6 linked regions of the Canis lupus familiaris genome follow. Each later gene encodes a partner of the first gene's protein in a complex. Links are inferred from orthologs where the notes say so. Each region holds a gene or a part of one and is shown on either strand. Other genes may lie near its edges.

Region 1 (3,795 bases):
CCGGGGGACCGCCCCACTTCCGGCCAGGCGGAGAAATGCTTGCTGGGGGATGAAGTTCTCCTGATGATAATGGCTCCCTTCTCGCTCCCTTGAATTCCACCCACTGGCACCAAGTCTGGTCAAGTGAGATGCAACCCAGGACAGAGTCCTCTGACTGGCTCCCACGCACGAAAATCTCTTCTTTCATCCAAAAGCTGTAACAAACTTGGGTGCATTTATCTAAAGTGGATACTTACTTTCTCCCCAGGAACCCAAAGTAAAAAAACAAAAGCCACTGTATTTTTTACATTGGGACCCAATACACAAGTATATAAAAGTATAGTTTCATGACCTGATACTTGGGAGTATTCGATCACAACAAAAATACTTTTGCGCAAGCAGTAACCCAATATCAACAGAATAAACCAGAATGTAGGATTACTGCCCCTCCAACCTCCACTCTCCCCACCAGAGGACAACTAGGAAAAAAGGGGCGGGAAGCAACACAAAGTAAAATCCAGTTCAGCTTGGTGGTTTCCTCTTTATTGATGTGCCTCCTGCCTTCCCCCCAACAATTTCAGTCCCTTCCCTCTACCCCCAAAAATGAAGGTAATGAGAGGAAGGGAATGTTGGGGTTCTGAGCCCCTTGGGCAGTTAGGGAACAGAAACCAAAACAATCACCGGATGTGACAGAGACGGACAATCAAGAAGTCTAGAGCAGAGTGGGAAAGGTCGAAGAGGAAGGGGAGAAAGGAGAGGTCCAAGAAGCCACCTCCCCCATGAGCCCTCCTGCTGAGAAGGGCTGGAGGAGAGCCTCAAACATTAGGAAGTGCAGGTCCCAACAAAGGGAGGTGAGGGATGAGCCCAAAGAAGGAGTAGGTCGAGGATGGGGGCCACCTCTGTCTTTGTAGAACCGGACCCCCCCCCACGTCAGGGGCAGCAGCTTCACAGACCGTAGACGCTTTCATCACTGTAGGCGATGTATAGAAAGAAGTCTTCTTCGTGGTGTTCCTGGATGGAGGCAGAAAACTATGGCACTCAGACGTCGGGGCTGTGGGCACGTGAACCACCCACTGCCCAGACACGTTTTTTGGAAAGCCCGTTCTTTCTGAAGACCCCCAAACGCTAGTGCCCTGACTCATACTCACTCATTTGCTCCAGGCCTTAGCAGCCAACAAGATTACCGCTGGCAGCAGTCCTGGGCAAAAAGATCTCAAACTGTTCCAAAATCTGCTGCCTTATACTTACCTGGCAGGGGAGATACCATGATCACAAAATCTGCTGCCTTGGGATGGTGGGGAAAGTGGACAAGAGGGTGGATCCAAAGCACTGCTGTAGTTCTCACCTCTATTCCCAATACCTTTATCCAAGCCCTCAACCTGGGACTACCCTCAAAATTTTGAGGTCACACGTAAAACTGAGAGCCAGCCAGCTAGTCCAAGAACTGCTGACCTGAAAATCTCTTCCAACACCTCTGCGGAGCCCCTGACTCCTTCCCAGTCACCATACCTGGTATAGCTGACCCATTGTGGCACTGGTGGGTGGAATGACGTTGTTGACAAAGAAAAACAAGGCATCCTCAGCTCGGAGATGAATTCGCTTCCGGATCAAGAAGTAGAACTGACCAACTGCCAAAGAGACAAGATACGATAAAGTCACAGGGATCAAAAAAGGCCTCAGAAGAGCAGTCACTACGGGGAGGCAGCATTTTCCCACCGACACTGCACCCCCACGCACAGGCAGCAAACCTGGGTCCTGGGTCAGGTTCCCACCTGTGAGATCAGAAGGCACCAGATACTTTTTTTTGTCCAGGTCTCCTATCCGAGCTTTGGGAGCCTTTTCTACTATCACCTATAAAAAGAAAGACGGAAATTAGGAAGCATCGAGGGGGGACAGCCCCACAGTCACCCCGTCGAGAACTCCAGAAACAAAACTGCTAGCACCCCAAGCCATCCAACTCGTTTTTCTTTGTCTGGGAACACGCGGTGCAGCCTCAAGCAGAGGCATCCTGACCCCGCAGCGTCAGGCTCACCTCGATATCCTGAATCCCCCGGCTGGGCGTCATAATAAACGAGGATCTTAGGCAGGCATGGCTCGTGCGAGCCGACGACAGCGTCGGCCTCGACGAGCCGGCCAGCTGGGAGGTGGCCATGGGAAGCCCCGACTGTCAAACTCCCTGCAGCCTCCCCAGCACTCCACACGTCTCCCTCGGCCAGCCGCGGCCCCCCACCCCCAGCTCCCTCGCCGCCCCGCTCCTTCCAACCTCCGCTCCCGGACACGATAGCCCCTGGCCCGGTCCCCGGCCACCCCCGCCAGCAGCCCGATGCCCTCGCTGCCTCGCCGGACCCCAAGCCGGGCTGTGGCGTCAGAGCCAGCGCCCCGCGTCCGCGGCCCCGGCTATGGTTCTCACCGGAACCCGGTCCGGGTATTTCTTTCTGATCTTCTCGCCCTCAGAGCGGCGTTTCTCGAACGGATGCTCTTCTTTATACACGAACTTCATCCTCCCGGGAACCGGGCTGGACCGGGCTGGGCTGAGGGAACCCGGGGGGGGGCCGGGACGGGGGGCGGCGGCGACGGCGGCGACGCGCGGGCGGACTCAGCGGAGCGATCCCGGGACTTGCGCCACTTCCCTATTCACCAACCCCGCCCCCGGCCGTCGGGGCCGCCCCGCCCGCTGGGTTACGCTACTAGCGTAACGGCCCTCACGCCGCCGGCGTAGCACCACCTACTGACCGCCCCCCTCACGCTGCCTGCGTAATCGCTTTGGAATCAGCTTGAGGGCTACGCAGCCGACGTAGCCAAGGTGGTTGGTCTGGGCTATGGTCGAAAATAACCGAAAACCCACATTCCGCCGTGCCCCACCGAGCTGGGCACCACAAGGGCTAGGAACTGCCGATTGTATTCTGAGGCTTGGTGCTCCGAAAAGTCTTTTCGGATACAAGGTGAAAAGGGGGAGGGGGGGAAGCAGAGAATTTTAAGGACAGCTATTCACGAAACGCGTCGGTACGCCGAAGGCGGCTGCTGACTCCAAAACAAAGTAGTACCCAAACGGAGAAGCTGGATCTCCGGGAAGAAAGGAGGGCAGACACGAAACAGGTATTCGCAGAAACGCACAGAACGCCTAGGTTCCCAGGAGGAGTGGACCAATGGGGACCGGAGAGGAGGTCCGAAAGGTAGGGACTACGTCAGCGCGGAGGAACACCTTCGGCACTGGCAGCAACGAAAAGTCATGTGATCTCAGAGAAGGGCGGAGCGTCACGTGGCGGCCGCGGGAAGTAGAGCCGGCCGCGGGGGGAGGGGCGCCGGCGGGAGGGGAGGGGGCGGGGCCGAGGGCCGGGGCACTCTCTGCGTCCACGTCGGTGCGCCTGCTCACGGACCGCGGCTTCCTCCTGCCCTGCAGCTCTGGTTCGCCGGGACCCACGGCTGTCCCTCCGACCCCACCCAGGGCACTCATCCTGCGGCCGAGACCCTTCCCACCAAAGGTCGACTCGTTCCCTGCTCCTTCCTCCGGAGCCAGCACCGCTGCTCCCTGACCCTCGGGCCTCGGCCTCCGCTTTGGGGAGCCAGGGTGGATGTGAACAAAGACTCCTCCCCTCATTTCCCAACCCTGAGAGAAGGACCTAGGGCAGCTTTGGTTTCAAAGTTATAATGCATGGTTTAAAAGAGAGGAAAGAAAAAGAGAGCGCGCCGGTTACAGGTCTGAGAGTATAGGAAGAAGGGAATGTAGAGGGAAAGGTTGGGGGCAGGGGGACAAGTTTGGGGAAAATCCAGTGGCCCAAAATCCCAGTTCCCCACCCACAGCCCAGCCCTTGGAGT
Region 2 (3,938 bases), on another chromosome or scaffold:
TGCCTATCAAGGCTTTCTCAGAGGCCCCTAATTTTGTCTATAATCTCCACCTCTTCTCCCACTCACTTGGGAAACCTTAAGACCTGAGTTTCCTGAGCTGTGGCCTGAACATCCTGATGACTGTCTGAGGATAATATTGTCAGGGGTCACATTCTAGACAGGTCATCTGAACATTCACAAACACTTAAGAAAGGCTGGGTCTGGAAGTTAGGTCATGGGACCCGGACAGAGCTTCAAAGCCAACCATCTGCTTGGTCATTGGTAGCAGCTGGTAACTGGAAGAGCTTGAGAGGGAAATTAGGAAACCCAGTGGAGTTCCCAGCTCTGTCACTAAGTAGCTGAACTGAGTGAGTCACTTAAAACTCTTTGTTTAACCTCAGCGTCATGATCTATAAAATTGGGATAAGGACAGTAGCATGGTCTCCCCCGGCTTTGATGGGAAGGAAAATCACAACTCATCCGAGCTTCAATTTCTGCACCTGTTACCAGTTGTTAAGATTTGCGTCCTGTCCATCTCACGAGGTTTGGGGGGGGGGGGGGGGTGCGGTGGTGAATGAGAGAAGGCACAACCTTTCGGAGTTTCAGTTTCTGCATGTGTAAAAAGCTCAGAATGCACGGCCAGCCTGCCCATAAAATTCCTGTTTAAACAGGAAAACAGGGCAGCCCGGGTGGCTCAGTGGTTTACCACCGCCTTCAGCCCAGGGCCTGATCCTGGAGACCCGGGATCGAGTCCCACGTCGGGCTCCCTGCATGGAGCCTGCTTCTCCCTCTGCCTGTGTCTCTGCCTCCTTTTGTCTCTGTGTCTCTCATGAATAAATAAATAAAATCTTAAAAAATAAAAAAAAGTAAACAGGAAAACAGACAGCAAACTTTGCAAAAATGTAGAAAGCTATGCGTGTGTGAATTACGTCCTACTGAAAAGACAACAAGCAGACCTAAGAGGTGATTGTAGGTCTCTTTCCTCCTGGCTCCAGGGCTGCAACCCCGCAAACAGACGCCAAGCCCACTTTCTTCAATCCTCCCCGCGGCCGGCAGCCGTCACGGCGTCGGCGGCCCCACCCGGCAGGGCTCCTGCGGGCCGGGAGGGGGCGTGGCCCGGGACCGCCCCGCCCCTCGCGACGCCCCGCCCCCTGGCGACGCCCCGCCCCGCCGCGCCCGCGCTTGCGCCGTGCACAGCCAGCGGCCTCGAGCGCCCCGGCGGGAGGTAAGGGGTTTGCGGGAGGCCGCCTCGGGGGCGTCAGGCCCGGACGGGCTTTGAGGGCCGGGCGCTGAGCCCGCGCGCCGCAGAGGCGCCCCCTGGGGAAGCCCGGCCTCAGGTCCCGCGTGCCCGCGCTTGGGAGGCTCCTCCCGGCTCCCCGAAGCGCCGGTTTCGTTTCTGGAAGCTCTTTGCGAAGCCGGTGTGGGGAGGCGGCCTCCCGGGGTCGCGGGGTGCGAAAGTTCCCTGCAGCTGCCGTGCCCGCGGCGCAGGCTGGGCCCGGGGCCGTCGGGGTCGCCCGGGTCGCCCGGGGGCGTGGTCCCAGGCCGCCCGCGCATCCGTTCTCTGGTTGGGGCGGCGGGGGTGGGGGGGGGCGCCGTGGGGCTCGGGGGCCCGCGAGGGGCGGAGGACCCGGACCCGGAGCCGGAGCCGGTGCTTCTGGAAGCTCCCGCAGCTGCGCCCTCGATAAGCCCGGCCTGGGAGGGCTCAGGCGGGAGACCCAGGGAGCAGCAGGGGCCGTGACCTTGCCTTCCAGAGTCCCCGGGTCAGGAGCTCGGGGAGGCCTGCCTGGGGCCCGTGTGGATCCCTGCCCTGGGAGGCGGCCGCTCGTCGCTCTGGGGGACGCCGAAGGTCGCTGGCACTTGGGGACTTTTTCTGAGAAATGGGGCTTTTTAACTTATACAGTAAATAGTCTAAATCATGTAGTAACCCCCCCCCCCCCCCCAGTACTTTTTTCTCACGGGAAACAGGAGTAGTCATGGTACCCAGGTGATGATAGTAGTCGTAAGCCCCGAAAAGGGTCAGGGTCGTTTGTAGAGCACCTGCCCCGCAGGCCCCCGCCAGTGTTAGTCTAAGTGACCCGTTTCCGGTGAAACATCAGACCTTCCTAGAGAGTCTTTTTATTCTTGAAATGATTTTCCAGTTACAGAGAGGTGGCAAAAGTAACAAAGGTCTCTGCAGCCCCCTTTAATGTTAACACCTTATATAACCATAAGTACAGTCATAAAAAATTATAAAGTATCATTGGTACGTTTTTTTGTTTTAAGATTTTATTTATTCATGAGAGACACACAGACATAGGCAGAGGGAAATAGCAAGGCTCCCGCCGGATTTGATCCCAGGACACCAGGACCACAACCTGAGTCAAAGGCAGACTCTGAGCCACCCAGGCGCCCCTCGTTGGTACAATTCTAGTGACCAAATTGCTACCTTTTTCTCGGATTTCCTGACTTTTTTATACTAATGTCCTTTTTTCCCCCCTATTTCAGGATCCAGTATAACATCCCACATTGCATTTAATTGGCATGGCTCTTTAGTCTTAAGTCTTTCCTAACCTTAACGCTTTTGAAGAATCCTGGTTAATTATTTAGCAGAGTGTCCCTCAGTTATGTTTTGTCTGGTATTTTCTTTTTCTTTTAAGATTTTATTTACTTATTCATGAGACATACAGGGAGAGAGAGAGAGACAGGCAGAGGGAGAAGCAGGCTCCATGCAGGGAGCCCAACGTGGGACTCGATTCCGGGTCTCCAGGATCAGGCCCTGGGCTGAAGGCGGCGCTAAACCACTGAGCCCCCCGGGCTGCCCCTTGTCTGGTATTTTCTTACAATTAAAGTTAGGCATTTTTAAAGTTATGCATTTTTGTTGATACCACAGAAGTGGATGTACCCTTCTCAGTCCATCCCACGAAGGGTTCATGTTATGACACACTGCTTTTGGTATTACTGTTGATCACTTGGTTGAGGTGTCTGCCAGGATTCTCTAATGTAAATTAACTGCTTTCCCCTTGAAATGAATGGATATCTTGAGTTTCTAAACTATGCAAATATGTTGTTCTCCTCAAACTTTCAGTTGCTGATTTTACCATCCATTGGTGGATCTTGCCTTCAGCAATGATTACTATTATGTTCTAATGGTGATTTTTTGTTTCCCCTCATTCCTTCTTTTATTTTTTTATTTAAGATTTTATTTATTTATTAACGAGAGACACAGAAAGAGAGAAGCAGAGACACAGGCAGAGGGAGAAGCAGGCCCCAGGCAGGGAGCCTGATGTGGGACTCGATCCCAGATCCCGGGATCACACCCTGAGCCAAAGGCAGGCACTCAACCGCTGAGCCACCCAGGCGTCCCCATTCCTTCTTTTATTAATTGGAGTTCTGTAAGGAAGGCTTGCCCCTTTCCATTTGTTTAGTCAGTTATTTTTTTATATAAGTATGAACTCATTTATTTTACTTTTTGGTTATTTTTGTTATTTATTTATGTCTCAGGTTGTTCCAGCCTTGGCCCTTGGGAGTTTTTTCAGGTTGCTTCCTTTTGACAGGCTTCCATCTCTCTTTGAGAACTTCCTTACTTTCTAGCACCATAAGATGTTCCACGTTTATCTTGCGTTTTCTCTGCCCCAGTCCTGGATCACCCACTTCTCCAAGGATCCGTGATTTCCTTTTTTGGAGAGTGGTATTTAAACACCAAGATCAGGGCACTTGGTGTGCTCATTGCTACTAGAATATTATTGTTTGTGGTTCTTTGCAGAAAACAGCTAGGACTATATGTAAATATATATTTTATTTTTATAAGTATTTTTCCTTTATATATAAATAAAATATATCATTCTATTTATTACTTATGTAATTATGAAAAATTAAGTATTATATTTTATTTATATCGTTTGTTATGTTTATTTGTAAATATATGTTTCTTAGCTATATACATATATATCCACATATTTCATGGATACACAAAGATTTGT
Region 3 (4,183 bases), on another chromosome or scaffold:
AGTGGCAGGCTTGGAGTGATCACCCCAGATTGGCTCCTCATGCAGGTTGAGTGATACTGGATACTGCCTGGGGCAGAACCCCAACTTCTCCAAGACTCCTCATTCTTCTCTTTTCTGAGTCTCCACCACTATCAGGGAAGCACGCCTTCCCTGCTTTTTTGCCAGGATTCCACCCCCTTCCCCAGTCCACTTCCAAGTTCCCAGGTCCAGGGCCTGTTTGCTTAGAGTTTGGGAAACCCCCAGAGCGCCTTCCTGCTTCCTGCAGCTTGGGGGGAGGGACATGGTGTCAGTCACGTGCCTCTGGCTTCTGAGCGTCTAGACTCAGGGGTCCTGCCCATCTCCCTCGGACCTTATCTTCCCCACCATCTGTCTCATTTTTTTCTTTTTTAACGGAACCCCCCTCCTCTCCTCTTTAGCCGTTTAATTGCAAAAGTCAGGCCGTTTGTGGGAGACCACAGGCAGCGACCCCTTTACCGGCTGAGGGAAGGTTTAAAGGAGAGGCTGCAATCAGACAAACAACGCTACCAAACTCTAGGAGCCACAGCCTATAGTCACATCTTTGTCTTCTAGGTTTCCTTTCTTCTGTCCCAGGACAACCCTAACAGTTTTGAAAGCGGCTCTGTAGAACGGCACCTAGCCAAGGATGCTCCTCCTAGCCTCTTCGGGGCTCCTGTGATTTCAGAGGCTAAGTGACTCGTCCCAGTCACTCAACAGCAGTCTGACAGGCTGTCAGGGCACTAGGGACCACTAGGGGCCAGAGAGGAGAGAGCTGGCACTGAACTCTCTGGCCTGCAAGGCTGTGGCTCTGGAGTGAAATGAAGATCCAGAGCCCCAGCCCCTGAATTCTGGTGCCTTCTGTCCCATCCTGGCCTGGGGCGGGGGAGGGCGAGATCGAGAGCGAGCGTGTGGGAATAGGGGCTCCCCAGCTGCAGAGTAGAAAGTGGTTAGGAAAACCTGGCCCACACCTCCTCGCAGAGGGGATAAAAGAGGGCGAGCTGGAGCGGGGTCCAGGTCCTGCGAGGTGACACGGGCACTGGCGCGCGTTCTTTAAACGCCCAGACCAGGAGCTAAGCGCGCGGGCAAGGGCGGGGTTGGGTCGAGGTCTGGTCACATGACCTGGGCAGAGGGGCTCGAGGCCCCCACCACACCGGTGGGCGGCCCCCACAACGCGTGGTCGACCTTCATTGGCCAGCTGTGTAGCCAATAGAAATCGGCCATCTGGGAACCCTGCGTTCCGAGGCACAGCCTAACATGCTCAGACGACAGCGGTCCAATGGAAAGTCAGGGTCGTGGCCGCAGACCAATGATAAGGTGCGGAGGGCGGGACAAGAGGCCGGGCCAGGTTGGTTTGAGGGGCGGTAGGGTATAAAAACGCGCGGCCGGCGGTAGCGTCCGTCCCTACTGCAGAGCCGCCGCCGGAGGAGAGGTTTAAAGGGCCCGCGCGCCGCCGCCCCCTCGCCCCGCCATGCTGCTACCCGTACCGCTGCTGCTCGGCCTCGTCGGCCTGGCCGCTGCCGAACCCGCCATCTACTTCAAGGAGCAGTTTCTGGACGGAGGTAAGGCCTGGTCCGGTCTCGAGGCCGCCCCGACGACGAGGGCGGCCCCTCAGCCTAGATCTGCGTTGTCCCCTGTAATTACTGCTTAGAGGACCAATACGGTGGCCTCCAGGGACCAGAGCCGCAGGCGATCCTTCCTTCCATGTCCCTGGGGAGCGTCGAGGGTACAGCGGACTCCCGCGGCGGGAGTTAGGGTTCGCCGGAGGAGCCCTTAAGTCATCGAAGATGTCAAACTAGAGGTTGGGGTGGGGTCAGTCAGGGGATATCTCCTTTCCAGTCTTCAGCAACTTGAGGCCATTGGCAGATAGCTATTCGTGGGGAGAGGTCAGTACGGCCGCACTGACCTGCCCCTTTGATCCCCTAGACGGGTGGACCGACCGCTGGATCGAATCCAAACACAAGTCAGATTTTGGTAAATTTGTTCTCAGTTCCGGCAAGTTCTACGGTGACCAGGAGAAGGATAAAGGTAAGAGCCTGGGACGGGTGGATGTTGGGATTCAGGAGGACTTCCTGGAGGAAGCCGTGCATGTCACACAGCGTGGGTATCCCCATGAGCAGGAGGAAGGGGCAGTCTTCTTTGACTCCAGTGCTTAGGGTCCTTGGAGCTTGGGGCTGAGCCATGACCTCACTATGGTCTCCTGCTAGGGCTGCAGACAAGCCAGGATGCCCGCTTTTACGCTTTGTCGGCCAGATTTGAGCCCTTCAGCAACAAAGGCCAGACACTGGTGGTGCAGTTCACCGTAAAACATGAGCAAAACATCGACTGTGGGGGCGGCTACGTGAAGCTATTTCCAGATGGTTTGGACCAGACGGACATGCACGGAGACTCTGAGTACAACATCATGTTTGGTGAGGGACCCCGCCCTGGCGCTGACCTTTGATTAGTTGGAAGGAGACCTAAATCTGGGTTCCTTAAGGGCCACCACAGGTAGTGTTGAGAACATGGGAAGATACTTGTGTAGTTAAGGCTTGTCTTTGCGAGGAAGGCTGAGGACATTGCATTGTTACTATTGGTCTGAAACTTGCAGTTCACGGGATTTTCTGTAGCTATTTCCAGTGAGGGCATTAAATTCCAGAGGTGATATTTTGTTCTTTCTGTTTTTCCTTTTTAAAAGGCTCCACTTTCAGCTCCTTAGAACCAGTCAGGGTATGATTCTTGTCCTGTAACCCTTTACAGATCTGCATTTAAGAACCAAGCCTTCTTTTGTAAAGGTTGGGAGCTTTACAGTGGTGGGCAGTTTCTTGCTCTAACTAAACCCACTTTTTACCTAGGCCCGGATATCTGTGGCCCCGGCACCAAGAAGGTTCATGTCATCTTCAACTACAAGGGCAAGAACGTCCTGATCAACAAGGACATTCGTTGCAAGGTGTGACTGGGGGTGGTGACAAGTGGCTGATAGGGAAGCCTCAGAGGCCAAGCCTGATGGGCGGGGCCATTCATCTCCCACCCTCTTCAGGATGATGAATTCACACACCTGTATACGCTGATTGTGCGGCCGGATAACACCTATGAGGTGAAGATTGACAACAGCCAGGTGGAGTCAGGCTCCTTGGAGGATGATTGGGACTTCCTGCCTCCCAAGAAGATAAAGGATCCTGATGCTTCAAAGCCTGAAGACTGGGACGAGCGGGCCAAGATTGATGACCCCACAGACTCCAAGCCTGAGGTTGGTGCTTGGGCAGAAGCTCCCCATGTGGAAGGTGTAGAGGACAGCTGGGTTGACTGACCTTTTTGTGTTCCCTCAGGACTGGGACAAGCCTGAGCACATTCCTGACCCTGATGCTAAAAAGCCAGAGGACTGGGATGAAGAGATGGATGGAGAGTGGGAACCACCTGTAATTCAGAACCCTGAGTACAAGGTGAGCTTGGAGCTCTGAGCAGGGTGGGAGCGCACAGTGGGGAGCACACTGACCTCCACTCAACCACTGGTTCCCTTCCCCTTCTGCAGGGCGAGTGGAAGCCCCGGCAGATTGACAACCCAGATTACAAGGGCACTTGGATCCACCCAGAGATCGACAACCCTGAGTACTCTCCTGATAGCAACATCTATGCCTATGAAAACTTTGCTGTTCTGGGCTTAGATCTCTGGCAGGTGAGACACAGAAGGGATTCATGGAGCACTTCAAATGTTGAGAGTCACTAAGGAGGAAAGGGATGATAAATGTTCAACCCCAGGCAGCTCTGAGCCAAAACTGGTGCTTTTCTTGAATAATATTCTGGTCTGTCTTTATGGAGTTCTCACGGCACCCAATTTGAGGTTCAGCTTACGTGCCAGATACCTTTCTAAGTTCCTTTATGCAAACAAACTTTTTAACTGCCTTCAACAGTTAGAAGTTGGTTAGATACCCCTGGCACTATTTTTCTAATGAGATTATCTGTCTGACTTACTTGGTAGAACATGCAACACTTGATCTCACAGGCATGAGTTCAAGCCCCACGTTGGGAGTAGAGCTTACTGGAAAAAAAAAAAAAGTAAATAATAAATGTGACTACTAGAAAAAAATGGTTCCTCTGAAATGAAATGTTTTAAAATTTTGTCAGTTTTATTCACTAGTAAACAATCTGTGTCTGGAATGGTGTCTGGCATGTAGTAGGTACCAGAAAAACATTTGAACAAGATATTGAG
Region 4 (4,017 bases), on another chromosome or scaffold:
TTTTTTAAGATTTTATTTATTTATTAGAGACAGAAAGAGAGAGAGGAGATAGACACAGGCAGAGGGAGAAGCAGGTCTCGATCCCAGGTCTCCAGGATCACGCCCTGGGCTGAAGGCGGTGCTAAACCGCTGAGCCACCCGGGCTGCCCAATGAGCGTCTGCCTTTGACTCAGGGTGTGATCCCGGAGTCGCAGGATCGAGTCCCACATCGGGCTCCCTGCACGGAGCCTGCTTCTCTCTCTGCCTGTGTCTCTGCCTCTCTCTCTGTTTCTCATGAATAAATAAATAAAATCTTAAAAAAAAAAAAAAAACTGGAAAGGGAGAGAACACTTTCTCGAAACTCCAAGGAAGGAACGGGATGTACACTGAACATTTTTCAAAAAGGATTATAACTACCTGTCTCTCCCACTAGCCTGTGGATCCTTCAGCACAAACTCTCATTGTAGGCGCTGGTAGAAAACAGTGCCTGATGAAGAACTTAAGAACAACCAGTAGGAAATGCTGCACGGCAAGCCCCAGACTGAGAACAGGCGTCTAAGCACACTCACACACTCTACTCGCTTAGGCAAAATTGGTCCCCTCTTTGGGGACTCCCCTCACTCACTGGACCATACCCCGGGGAGAACCACGTGCGATCCTTCATCATATCCCAATCCCTTCTGCAAATCCCACCCCACCCAGCACTCCCTTTTCTTACACCTCTTCTTCCTCAGACCACGCCCCTCTGCTCTGGACCCGAGTGAGACACACCCCCTCAACTCCCCACAGCTCAGGTGAGCCGGCCCCTAGGGCCCAAACCTAGCCCCACAGTCCCACGCCCCCTCCCTTTGGCAGCCCCGCCCTCTCGCCCTCTGAGGACGCCAGAGCCGGTCAGTTCCTTCAGAATCTTGAGCTTGAGGCCACTGCCCCCGCCTCCCATTCACTGAGGCCAGGAGAGCACAGGCGGGGCCTGGCCACCTACTCCAGCCAGTGGCCTCACCTCTCTTCCAAGAGCTCAGTGGGGACACCACCTCCACCCGTTCAGAAATGAACTCGGCCAGACTGGAGCGGAACAAGGCCGCCCGCACGGTCACGGCCACAACCACCACCAGAGCCAAGGGAGCCGCCATGATAGCTGGGGCGGGCGCGCAGGCGGGAGGGAAACGCGAGGCGGAAAAGCCAAGCGAGCGACCTGCGCGCCACCCTCTGTAGTTCCGCGGTCAAGCGCGCCTCGCTGCTGCCGCCGGAGCGCCCAGACTGGGGACTACCGCTCCCAGGATGCCTTGCGGCGAGACGGGGCGGGGCGACGTAGAGCCGGGCGTCTCAAGCTCGTAGCAAAGGATTGCGCGACGTCTCCTAAGACAGCAGGTGTATCGTAAAAGCCCTCTGTGCTGCCGAAAGTAGACACGGGAAGGTGTATCTTCCTAGGTTAGTGAGCAAGTATTGAAGAGTTGTTAGTTTCATTCTTGTGTGTATGTTTTCAAAGTTAGGATGTTTCCTTTTATGCTTTTAAAGAAAATTAAATATGTATTCATTTATGTATTCTACAACTGTTTGTTGAACAACGGCGCTATGCCAAGCATTTTATTGGGTTCTGAAGATACATTTTGGAGTATAGATTTATTTGCTCTGCAGCCTTGAACAAGTTAACCTTCCTGTGCCTCAGGTCCCTCATCTGGAAAATATGCCTGCCCATCCGTATGGGCTCGCTAGAAACGATTGAGGAATGCCTAAGAAATTTTGCAGGTCCCTTATAAGCCATTATCAAAAATTAAATTATATAAACTTACAGTTAAATAAGTTATATTAAAACAAGGTAATAAATACTCAAAACGCATTATTTCCTAATTATTTTACTACATTTTTGTTTTATCTGTGCTCTTGAGGTTATTTACTACTGCTATATTACTATGGCAAATACTGTATGATGGTTGCTGCTGCCCATCAGCTCCCAAATTGGCGCTCAGTGATGTCACGTTGGTAGCTTGAAATCTCTCTGGATGAGAGTGTTTACACTACAAGCACTACAAATCAATTTTGGACTTTGGAGAGCTCGTTGAAAAGCATTAAGTGGCACATCATTAATTAATGTATGAAAAGTACTTATGGTGAGTGCTTAACTGTTAGCTATAATAATATTAAATTAATATATAAGGAAAGTTCAGGTCTGTGAGTAATATGAAACAGGTTGTATGATCAAGAATAACTTGGTGGAAGTGTGTTGGTAACACTGGACAGGGTGGTCAGGGAAGGCTCTGGGAAGACATGACATTTGAGCTGAGACCCAAAAGATGAGAAACTAGTCAGAGCTGACATGTGAAGGAAACAGACTCTGATTCAGGAAACAGCAAGATGTGTTTGGGAAAGAAAACAAGTGTGTTCCAAGTGGAGAGAGTGGTAGTGACCAATCAGGGACCTGTTTGCCATGGTTGAGAATTTGGACTTTATTCATAGTGTAATCCATATGCCACTGGAGGATTTTAAACCAAAAAGTGATGTAGTCAAGTGTGCATTTTTAAAAGATCACTAAAAAATAAATAAATAAAAATAAAAATAAAAGATCACTATATCCTCCAGCCCTATACTGAGTGTTGGGGAATCTTGCAGTGACAAAATTGCACCCAATGCCTTTATGGAACTTGGAGATGTGATAGTCTTAAGAATAACACAAATAAAAGTAAAATCACAAATCATAATGAAAGGAAAAGGGGGAGCAAGATGCTAGGAGAATACAAAAATCAGCCTTGGAGCTGATCGATTTCTTGACCAATGGGAGGGGTGGGTTTTCAGTGGAAGAGGTAATCATGAAACAATAGAAAAGGCACCCTCATCCTTTGAGCCCTGTTCTGCCAAGCACTGTGCCATACTTTTAACACACATGAGCTTATTTAGTCTGATAACCTTCCTTTCTAACCATATAAGTGTTGCTATCCTCTTTCACATTAAAGGAGGAGATATATGTATTACATCATCATAAAGTGTATTATATCATGAAAAGTGCAGGTTATTATAACACAAACCCATAATGAAGATTGAACAAGATTATGTAATGTAAAATGGTTAGTACATACCAAGTGCTTGATACGCATTATTTAGCTGTTTCATTATTGTTTACATTATCCTAATAGATGACTTAAACATTCTTCGTAGGGTGAAAATTGTCTTTGGGAAGAACCATTATAGATAGACCCAATCTGTTGGTTCTTAAACATGAGTTTCCATGGATCATAGACCTAAATATTAGAGCTAAAACTATAAGACACCTACAAGAAACCTGGGAGTAATCTCCATGACCTTGAATTAGAAGGTTTTTTTTAGGTACAACACCAAAAGCACAGACAACAAAAGAAGAAATAAATAAATTGGGTCTCATCAAAATTAAATAATAGCAAGTATTGGTAAGGAAGTGGGGAAATTGGAACCCTCATGGTGGGCATGTAAAATGCTATAGCCACTTTGGAAAACAGTTTGGTAGTTACTCAAAATGTTAAACATAGAGTTGCCATACGACCCAACAATTCAACTCCTAGCTAAAATCCAAGAGAAATACAAGAGAAAAAAAGAGAATCCAAGAGAGAAACATATATCCACACAAAAACTTATACTTGACTGCCCATAGCTTGTTCATAGTTATTATTTATGATACCTAAAAAGTGGAAACAAAACAAATATCCATTTTGTTTGTTATGAATGGATAAACAAAATGTGGTCTATTAATGGACTATAATTGGGTAAAAAAAAAAGCATTGATACATGCTACAACATAGATGAACTTTAAAATATGCTAAATAAAATAAGCCAAACACAAAAGGCCACATATTATATAATTCCATTTATGTGAAATGTCCAGAATAGGCAAATCTATAGTGACAAAAAGCCAACTTAGTGGTTGTCTAACGCTGGGGTGGTTGAGGGGGTGGGAATAGGAAATGACTGCTAAGGAGTACAGGATTTCTTTTCAGGATGATGAAAATGTTCTAAAATCAGATTATACAATTCTGTAAACATACCACAACCACTGAGCTATATACTTTAAAT
Region 5 (3,978 bases), on another chromosome or scaffold:
AATAGGCTACACATTGTCCAGTTTCAACTATACGACATCCTGGGGAAAAAGTTAAAACGAGACAGCAAGGAAAATCAGTGGTTTCTGGGCGGGCGCGGGTGGGTGGGAGGGCAGGGAGAAGGAAGCATACAGGGATGGAACACAGGGAATTTTTATGGCCGTGGGGGCTGTTCTGTAGGTCACTGTAATGGTGGGCCCGTGACCTTACACCTTCTGCAGGACCCTCGCAACTGCACCCAGGAGCGGAACCCAATCTCAACAGCCCGCTGTAACCCACGATGACCCGGTGGCACGCACCCCCGGAGGCGAGGTGTCGGCCAGAGGGGGGACCGTCAGGGGGTGCGGGGGGTGGCGGCTCCCCGTGAAACCCAGCTCGATCTTGGGGCACCGGAAACTGCTCTTAAAAACCAACTCAAAAAAAAAAAAAACCCAAAAAACAAACCCAACTCAATCGCTAAAAAAGAAAAGAAACAACAACAACAAACAAAAACACCCCCGACTTTAAATCCAGAAGACACAACGGTGGTTGCCAGGGAAGAAGGGGGGGGGATGGGCGAAAGGCGATGGAGAGGACCCTTATCCTGATGAACACCGAGCAACCCACAGAATCACTGAAATCATACACCTAAAACTAATCTTTGGGGAAAGGAAGAAAAAAAGAATGTATTACAAAAAGGCGGGGGCGCGGAAGGGGCGGCATCTCTGAGGAAAACCTGCAGGGCTCTCGATTTTTTTCCCCCCCACGGGCTCCTACATCTCAAGAGGGAGCGCTCGATGATCTCCTAAACGAGCAAAGAGAAGCTAAAGGGCACCCGACCTCCACCTCACGGGCGCCGCGAGAGTCTTTATCAGCCTAACCCGCGACTGTGCAGTCCGAGCATCCTTATTTAACCTACGCAATTCACGTCGTCGTCGTCACACGGCGCTGGGACACACCGTCGTTATTCACATTAAAAAAAAAAAATAAAAAAAAAAAACCGTCCCGAGCGCGGAGCCCAACAAGGTGGCAGATACGAAAACCAGGAGGGCTAACCCGGATTCCAGGCTCAAAGTTCTAAAGCATAAAAGCGAACGGCCGAAAATTAGCGATTTCTAATTCCGTCGGCCGAAAACAATGAACGGCCGATAAATCTCGCGATGCCTATGGAAACTACCACTCCCAGCGTGCACAGCGGCTCCGGGCCATCCGCCTATCCCCTGGAGTCTGGAGGGGCCCCGGCATGCCTCGGGGCGCGAAAGGCAGCCTGGGAGCCGTAGTTCCGCTGGACGCCTACCGGTATTGCCAGCGCGGCAGTGGCGGCTCTCTCGGTTCCGTCCAGCCGGGTTCTGTAAGGCGAGCTGAGGCGGAGAAAAGGGCGCGGAACTGGAAGCGGGTGAGTCAGGCGCTGGCTACGTGATAAAGGGAGGCGGCACTGCGGCATACGGCTGGATTAGGTAAATGGACCCGTGCTGCAGTCTCTCCGGAGACGCCGCGATCTAGCGCCCGCGCGAAGAGGGCGAGGAGGAGCCCGCGCCCGGTCCGTGCACCCGTTCTCGCCCTCGTACCCCGCCGCCATCTCCACCATGCAGTCCCGGGAAGAGGCTCCGCGTTCTCGCCGCCTGGCCAGTCCCCGCGGCGGCAAGCGGCCCAAGAGGATCCACAAGCCCACGGTCTCGGCTTTCTTCACGGGCCCGGAGGAGCTGAAGGACGCGGCTCACTCCGCAGCCCTCCTGGCGCAGCTCAAGTCCTTCTACGACGCGCGGCTGCTGTGCGACGTGACCATCGAGGTGGTGACGCCCGGCAGCGGGCCCGGCACCGGCCGCCTCTTCCCCTGCAACCGGAACGTGCTGGCGGCCGCGTGTCCCTACTTCAAGAGCATGTTCACGGGCGGCATGTACGAGAGCCACCAGGCGAACGTGACCATGCACGACGTGGACGCCGAGTCCTTCGAGGTGCTGGTCGACTACTGCTACACGGGCCGCGTGTCGCTGAGCGAGGCCAACGTGGAGCGCCTCTACGCGGCCTCCGACATGCTGCAGCTCGAGTACGTGCGGGAGGCCTGCGCCTCCTTCCTGGCCCGCCGCCTCGACCTGGCCAACTGCACCGCCATCTTCAAGTTCGCCGACGCCTTCGGCCACCGCAAGCTGCGATCCCAGGCCCAGTCCTTCATAGCCCACAATTTCAAGCAGCTCAGCCAGATGGGTTCGATTCGGGAAGAGACTCTGGCGGATCTGACCCTCGCCCAGCTGCTGTCCATCCTGCGCCTGGATAGTCTGAACATAGAGCTGGAGCAGACCGTGTGTCATGTGGCCGTGCAGTGGCTGGAGGCGGCTCCCAAGGAGCGCGGACCCAGCGCTGCGGAAGTCTTCAAGTGTGTCCGCTGGACACACTTCACTGATGAAAATAAAGATTACCTGGAGGGGCTGCTGACCAACACCATTGTGAAAAAGTACTGTCTGGACCTTATCGAGGGGGCCCTGCAGATGCGCTATGGTGACAAGCTGTGCAAGGCTCTGGCGCCCAAGCCAGAGACCAGCAGTGGCAGCTGTGGCGGCGGCAGCAGCAGCAGCGGTGGCAGTGGCGGCGGCAGCGGCAGCGGCGGCAGCGGCGGCAGCGGTGGTAGTGGGGGCAGTGGGGTTGGCAGCGGCACCAGCAGCAGCAGCAGCAGCAGCTCCTCTGTTGTACCCATAGCTGAAAACCCACCCCAGAGGCTGGGCGTGTGTGCTAAGAAGATGGTGATCTTCTTTGGACATCCTAGAGATCCCTTTCTGTGCTGTGACCCATACACCGGCGATATTTACAAAGTGCCCTCGCCTCTGACCTGCCTTGCTCACACCAGGACTGTCACCACCTTAGCTGTCTGCGTCTCTCCAGACCACGACATCTACCTGGCCGCGCAGCCCAGGAAGGACCTCTGGGTGTACAAGCCAGCCCAGAATAGTTGGCAGCAGCTGGCCGACCGCCTGCTGTGCCGGGAGGGCATGGATGTGGCCTACCTCAATGGCTACATCTACATTTTGGGTGGGCGAGACCCCATTACCGGTGTTAAGTTAAAGGAGGTGGAGTGCTACAGTGTCCAGAGAAACCAGTGGGCACTGGTGGCTCCGCTACCCCATTCCTTTATATCCTTTGATCTAATGGTCATCCAGAACTATCTTTATGCCCTCAACAGTAAGCGCATGTTCTGCTATGATCCGAGCCACAATATGTGGCTCAAGTGTGTTTCCCTCAAGCGCAATGACTTTCAGGAAGCCTGTGTCTTCAATGATGAGATCTACTGTATCTGCGACATCCCCGTCATGAAGGTCTACAACCCAGTCAGGGGGGAATGGAGGCAGATTAACAATATTCCCCTGGTGTCGGAGACCAACAACTACCGGATAATCAATCACGGCCAAAAACTGTTGCTGATCACCTCTCGCACCCCACAGTGGAAGAAGAACCGGGTGACCGTGTATGAATATGACACTAGGGGAGACCAGTGGATCAACATAGGTACCACCTTAGGCCTCTTCCAGTTTGATTCCAACTTCTTTTGCCTCTCAGCTCGTGTTTATCCTTCCTGCCTTGAACCTGGCCACAGTTTCCTCACTGAGGAAGAAGACGTGCCGAGTGAATCTAGCACCGAATGGGATTTAGGTGGATTCAGTGAGCTGGACTCTGAGTCAGGAAGTTCAAGTTCTTTATCTGATGATGATTTGTGGGTTCAGGTAGCACCTCAGTGAAATGCACAGGATCAGCAGAGTTTGTTGTAGATAGGTTGAAACACTAAGGTGTTTTTACTGCTTTGGAAAGTGTCTTAAAGAGATGCCCTTTCTCTTTGCTGGGAAAAAAACAACAACAACACAGGTTGATTGATTTCAGGTTTGGTTTAGAAAGGGTATTGTTTGAAATACTAACATAATTTAATGTTAGGGAATTTATACACAAAGAAATCAACCTATTTAATAATTTACTGTTCTAAAAGTCCAGTATTGATTTGATTGTTGGGTATGTTT
Region 6 (3,500 bases), on another chromosome or scaffold:
AATCACAATCAGTGGGGCTCCAGAATATAGGAAGGGGGAGCTTACAGAGGGCATTTTGTTAGGAAGATTAGTGTTAAAGTGGTATGGACACAGCAAACACGCTGAAGGCACTGGAGTAGCTTTTTGAAGAGAAACAGTACTGAAGGTAATCGTGGAGGGAGGAAGAAGTGCCCCTTTGGCCCCACCGGCACTGATTGTAGTTTATTTTTCACAGTTGTTCTGAACTTCTCCTGCATATATTACTTCATTGTGCTCAAAGGTACATTCAGAACTAGAGTTTTGCTTGATGACTTGTTTTACCCTTTATTAGTTATACAGAATCTATTCACAGCAAATAACCTGACAGCTTTTTTTTTTTTTTTCTCAGAGATCCTCTGTCATTGCTAGTTTAAGTTGAGGAACTATTTGCTTATCACAGACATTCTCGAGGCAGTAGGAGACTTCATACTCTCAGTCTATAACTATTTTATCCTGCAGAAATGGTTTCTTCCAACTTTTGTCGTCATTTCTGGCCATGAACATCATTTTCTTAAAGTAGTACATAAGAGCTAGTAGTCTTATTTTTTAATGTAGTAGATGAACTCATTTTGCCTTAGTTTCATTTATTGGAGGTTCTGGTCTTCTGCTGGTTGATAACAGTTTCTTAGATTCTTTTTTTTCCTGCTCAAATTTAGGGGAAGATGCATCCCTGCCTATTACCAGTGGAGGAAGCTACCAGGTATTGGTGAACAATGTGTTTTATTTCACACAACGTGTGGTGGACAAACTTTGGCAAGGCATGTTCAACAAAGAATCTAAACTTCTTATAGATTTTATAATTCAACTAATTGCACAGGTAATCTATTGTCACTATTAGTTTTAGAGTACATATTTTCTTATTGAAAAACTTTTCCTAATGTGTCAAAATTATTGGAAATAAATGTAACTAATAAGATAATGTTAACATTTAATACAAACAAAGCTCAGCTTGTTGAAAGTGAGTAAAAACCATAGACTTCTAACCCTTCCCCTCCTTACCCATAGGGTGGTACCAGCGTGTCCCTGTAAAGTTGCCTAGTTCTCTTAAGCTCTGGGCTCTCACTGGCTTCCCCACTGGTATTGCTCTTTGCTACCCAAATACCTGGGTAACTTTCTTATGGTTTAAATATGGTTTTAAGTTAATACAATTTGATGACTTGGTTTTTTTGTTTGTTTTTACAGTATGCTACATTTGTATGTAAAGGTTTACAGAGCACAAAGAGTTGATATGAAAGGAATATTTTCTTCTTATAATTAAATCTTCACAGAGTTCATTGTAGTTCTTTGAAGGTGTCATTTTAGTGAGCGAGTGGGTGTGTGTGTGTGTGTGTGTGTGTGGTACTTTTGACTAGGAATGTTGGCCTGGTTTGCCACAAGTGATTAATCTTATTCAACACATAGCGTAGAAACTAGAAAATACTGTTACCACGTGTTATTAGCATATGGTGCATAGGTTCTTTCGTGTCATCTAAGAATTTTTTAAGAGATAAATTTGTGTTTAAGCCAAAGAAAAGTTTACAAGTGAGGAAATCAATCTAGAATGTCAAAGGTTTTTTTACTAACATTTTAGATTTGGTTGTTTGTTTGTTTTTCTCAGTAATTGTGAATAGAGATCATTCACCCTAACAAAACTTTTGTTGCAGGAGATTCTCCTTAGATTACACTTCCATATGTACTCAGGCAGGCTGCTCTGCCTACAGGAGTTTTAGCAGCTCTCCTCAATGGGGCATGTGGTTTTCATCTCATTAAATTATACTTATGTGTCTCTTGGGTTCTGAACCTCATAATAGCAAGAGCTTTTTGGTTTTTAACTTAGCACCTTGTATTGAGCATGGCACCTGGTATGTAATAAAGCTAATATTTATATGTGAATGATAAGCAGACCATTTGTTTCTATTTTACTAAATAAAGTATCTTTCTTACCTTTAGTCAAAAAGAAGATCACAGGGATTGTCACTTGATGCAGTTTATCACTGCCTCAATAGGACCATCTTGTACCAATTCTCACGGGCACACAAAACCGTTCCACAGCAAGTAGCTCTCCTAGATTCGCTCAGGGTACTGACTGTAAACAGGAACTTGATCCTGGGACCTGGGAACCATGACCAAGAATTCATTAGCTGTCTGGCTCACTGCCTTATTAATCTACATGTTGGAAGGTAACTTTTTCACATTCAGTTTGCCACCGTGAATTTGTCATTCCACCAAAACTCTGTCCTACTTTTTTGATAGTAACATTTTTTTCCTTTTAATCTCAGTTTTAAAACTTCATGGAAAATATAAACACAAGGGTAACATTTTTGCAATAAAAGAATGAGTATTTTTTCTGTAATTTTCCATGTCTTTAAATTGGTCATTAATCACCTTAAGTCATGTATGTAATTTTTTTTAAAAAGTTTACTTTTAAAATAAACAAAGTATACAATGTTGGAGGTTAAGAGGGATAAAAAGGAAAGAATAATGAATAAATGCAGTGGTATATGTTAAATGGGCGTAATTAGTATTTTTCCTTGATTCTTTGACAGATACTTATTTAATGTCTGGACATTGAATTAGGGACTGGGATAAAATGTGAGCCAGAAAGACCTCATGGCAGGGTCTTGGAACATGCAGTCTAGGAGGGAAAATAGACAACTAAGCCAGACCAGGCAAAGTGTGCTAAGTGCGCTAAGTGCTCTGCTGGAAGCATGGCTCTTTGGGTGCATGGAACAGGTGCTCCTACCTGGAAAGAGACACCTGCTGAGTTACAACTTGAATGTGTTTGACAAGGAGGTTAACTCTCCAAAAAGGATGGGAAAGTGATGTAGGAAGAAAGAGCCATCTATGTGATTGCCTTGGGGGAGGAAAGCATATGGCACTTTCGGGAAACTGCAAATTTGTCACTGCTCCTGGAGCAAAGGGTGATGGGAGAGAGACTGAGGGGAGGTGGTGCATAGGCATATGAGGAAAATGTTCTTAGGAACTTTGTAATTTTTAGGTAAAAATATTAATCATGATCAAAAAACACCTTAAATATTAAGATGCTCATCTTGATGCTGTTGTTTAGTTTAATTACATTTAGTCAAGTGGATTTGTGAGATCATTCCTTTAAAATGGCATTTTCATGATAAAGTAGTAGTTCTGTTTTGTGCACCTGCCAAATATCTGTCTGCCAATTATAGAACTTTGTGATAGAGCCAGCATTTACTTGTGTCTGGAGAGTTATACTTAGTCATTATGGTTTTCAGCTATAATCATTTCCTTCGTATAGTTTAAACTGACTGGAATTTTTCAGCAATGTGGATGGGTTTGGACTGGAAGCAGAAGCCCGCATGACTACATGGCACATTATGATCCCCTCTGACATTGAACCAGATGGTGGTTACAGCCAAGATATTAGTGAAGGTAGTTTGTTTTCTTCCTTTTTTATTCCCCATTCTCCCCATTTCCAATTTTTTTTTTAAGAGAGAATGAGTGTATGAGCAGAGAAAGGCAGATGGAGA

Evidence for each region.
Region 2: the proteins of GABARAP (region 1) and STX17 are in contact, whole or in part, in a crystal structure (PDB 7BV4), measured with the Homo sapiens proteins. The link is inferred for Canis lupus familiaris from reciprocal best matches to the Homo sapiens genes GABARAP and STX17. Residues at the interface, in NP_009209.1 of Homo sapiens: Tyr5, His9, Lys13, Glu17, Lys20, Ile21, Arg28, Pro30, Lys46, Lys47, Lys48, Tyr49, Leu50, Pro52, Leu55, Gln59, Phe60, Phe62, Leu63, Lys66, Arg67, Phe104; in NP_060389.2 of Homo sapiens: Ala169, Glu170, Ser171, Trp172, Glu173, Thr174, Leu175, Glu176, Asp178, Leu179, Glu181, Leu182.
Region 3: the proteins of GABARAP (region 1) and CALR are in contact, whole or in part, in a crystal structure (PDB 3DOW), measured with the Homo sapiens proteins. The link is inferred for Canis lupus familiaris from reciprocal best matches to the Homo sapiens genes GABARAP and CALR. Residues at the interface, in NP_009209.1 of Homo sapiens: Glu17, Ile21, Tyr25, Arg28, Pro30, Val31, Ile32, Lys48, Tyr49, Leu50, Val51, Pro52, Leu55, Phe60, Leu63, Ile64, Arg67, Phe104; in NP_004334.1 of Homo sapiens: Asp199, Trp200, Asp201, Phe202, Leu203, Pro204, Pro205.
Region 4: the proteins of GABARAP (region 1) and TP53INP2 are in contact, whole or in part, in a crystal structure (PDB 8T31), measured with the Homo sapiens proteins. The link is inferred for Canis lupus familiaris from reciprocal best matches to the Homo sapiens genes GABARAP and TP53INP2. Residues at the interface, in NP_009209.1 of Homo sapiens: Tyr5, Glu17, Ile21, Tyr25, Arg28, Pro30, Val31, Ile32, Lys46, Lys48, Tyr49, Leu50, Val51, Pro52, Asp54, Leu55, Gln59, Leu63, Arg67, Phe104; in NP_001316358.1 of Homo sapiens: Glu31, Val32, Asp33, Gly34, Trp35, Leu36, Ile37, Ile38, Asp39, Leu40, Pro41.
Region 5: the proteins of GABARAP (region 1) and KBTBD6 are in contact, whole or in part, in a crystal structure (PDB 4XC2), measured with the Homo sapiens proteins. The link is inferred for Canis lupus familiaris from reciprocal best matches to the Homo sapiens genes GABARAP and KBTBD6. Residues at the interface, in NP_009209.1 of Homo sapiens: Tyr5, Glu8, His9, Glu17, Ile21, Tyr25, Arg28, Pro30, Val31, Ile32, Leu44, Asp45, Lys46, Lys47, Lys48, Tyr49, Leu50, Val51, Pro52, Leu55, Leu63, Arg67, Phe104; in NP_690867.3 of Homo sapiens: Ser663, Asp664, Asp665, Asp666, Phe667, Trp668, Val669, Arg670, Val671, Ala672, Pro673.
Region 6: the proteins of GABARAP (region 1) and WDFY3 are in contact, whole or in part, in a crystal structure (PDB 3WIM), measured with the Homo sapiens proteins. The link is inferred for Canis lupus familiaris from reciprocal best matches to the Homo sapiens genes GABARAP and WDFY3. Residues at the interface, in NP_009209.1 of Homo sapiens: Glu17, Ile21, Lys24, Tyr25, Arg28, Pro30, Lys46, Lys48, Tyr49, Leu50, Val51, Pro52, Asp54, Leu55, Leu63, Lys66, Arg67, Phe104; in NP_055806.2 of Homo sapiens: Glu3342, Lys3343, Asp3344, Gly3345, Phe3346, Ile3347, Phe3348, Val3349, Asn3350, Tyr3351, Ser3352.

The regions. Positions count from the first base shown.
Region 1 is NC_049226.1:32,414,291-32,418,085, forward strand, and holds GABARAP (gamma-aminobutyric acid receptor-associated protein), read right to left. Parts: upstream 2,599-3,795; 5' UTR 2,480-2,598; coding exon 2,390-2,479; intron 1,831-2,389; coding exon 1,752-1,830; intron 1,608-1,751; coding exon 1,489-1,607; intron 991-1,488; coding exon 925-990; 3' UTR 501-924; downstream 1-500. UniProt on the Homo sapiens protein: Ubiquitin-like modifier that plays a role in intracellular transport of GABA(A) receptors and its interaction with the cytoskeleton.
Region 2 is NC_049232.1:57,222,230-57,226,167, forward strand, and holds the start of STX17 (syntaxin-17), read left to right. Parts: upstream 1-1,138; 5' UTR 1,139-1,204; intron 1,205-3,938. UniProt on the Homo sapiens protein: SNAREs, soluble N-ethylmaleimide-sensitive factor-attachment protein receptors, are essential proteins for fusion of cellular membranes.
Region 3 is NC_049241.1:49,649,563-49,653,745, reverse strand, and holds the start of CALR (calreticulin), read left to right. Parts: upstream 1-1,383; 5' UTR 1,384-1,465; coding exon 1,466-1,556; intron 1,557-1,920; coding exon 1,921-2,022; intron 2,023-2,201; coding exon 2,202-2,405; intron 2,406-2,828; coding exon 2,829-2,923; intron 2,924-3,013; coding exon 3,014-3,223; intron 3,224-3,302; coding exon 3,303-3,416; intron 3,417-3,505; coding exon 3,506-3,649; intron 3,650-4,183. UniProt on the Homo sapiens protein: Calcium-binding chaperone that promotes folding, oligomeric assembly and quality control in the endoplasmic reticulum (ER) via the calreticulin/calnexin cycle.
Region 4 is NC_049245.1:24,279,633-24,283,649, forward strand, and holds the start of TP53INP2 (tumor protein p53-inducible nuclear protein 2), read left to right. Parts: upstream 1-1,217; 5' UTR 1,218-1,407; intron 1,408-4,017. Other genes in the region: PIGU (phosphatidylinositol glycan anchor biosynthesis class U protein), read right to left, coding at 980-1,109. UniProt on the Homo sapiens protein: Dual regulator of transcription and autophagy. Positively regulates autophagy and is required for autophagosome formation and processing.
Region 5 is NC_049243.1:9,450,968-9,454,945, forward strand, and holds the start of KBTBD6 (kelch repeat and BTB domain-containing protein 6), read left to right. Parts: upstream 1-1,178; 5' UTR 1,179-1,563; coding exon 1,564-3,705; 3' UTR 3,706-3,978. UniProt on the Homo sapiens protein: As part of the CUL3(KBTBD6/7) E3 ubiquitin ligase complex functions as a substrate adapter for the RAC1 guanine exchange factor (GEF) TIAM1, mediating its 'Lys-48' ubiquitination and proteasomal degradation.
Region 6 is NC_049253.1:31,496,260-31,499,759, forward strand, and holds part of WDFY3 (WD repeat and FYVE domain-containing protein 3), read left to right. Parts: intron 1-674; coding exon 675-835; intron 836-1,947; coding exon 1,948-2,177; intron 2,178-3,292; coding exon 3,293-3,402; intron 3,403-3,500. UniProt on the Homo sapiens protein: Required for selective macroautophagy (aggrephagy). Acts as an adapter protein by linking specific proteins destined for degradation to the core autophagic machinery members, such as the ATG5-ATG12-ATG16L E3-like ligase, SQSTM1 and LC3.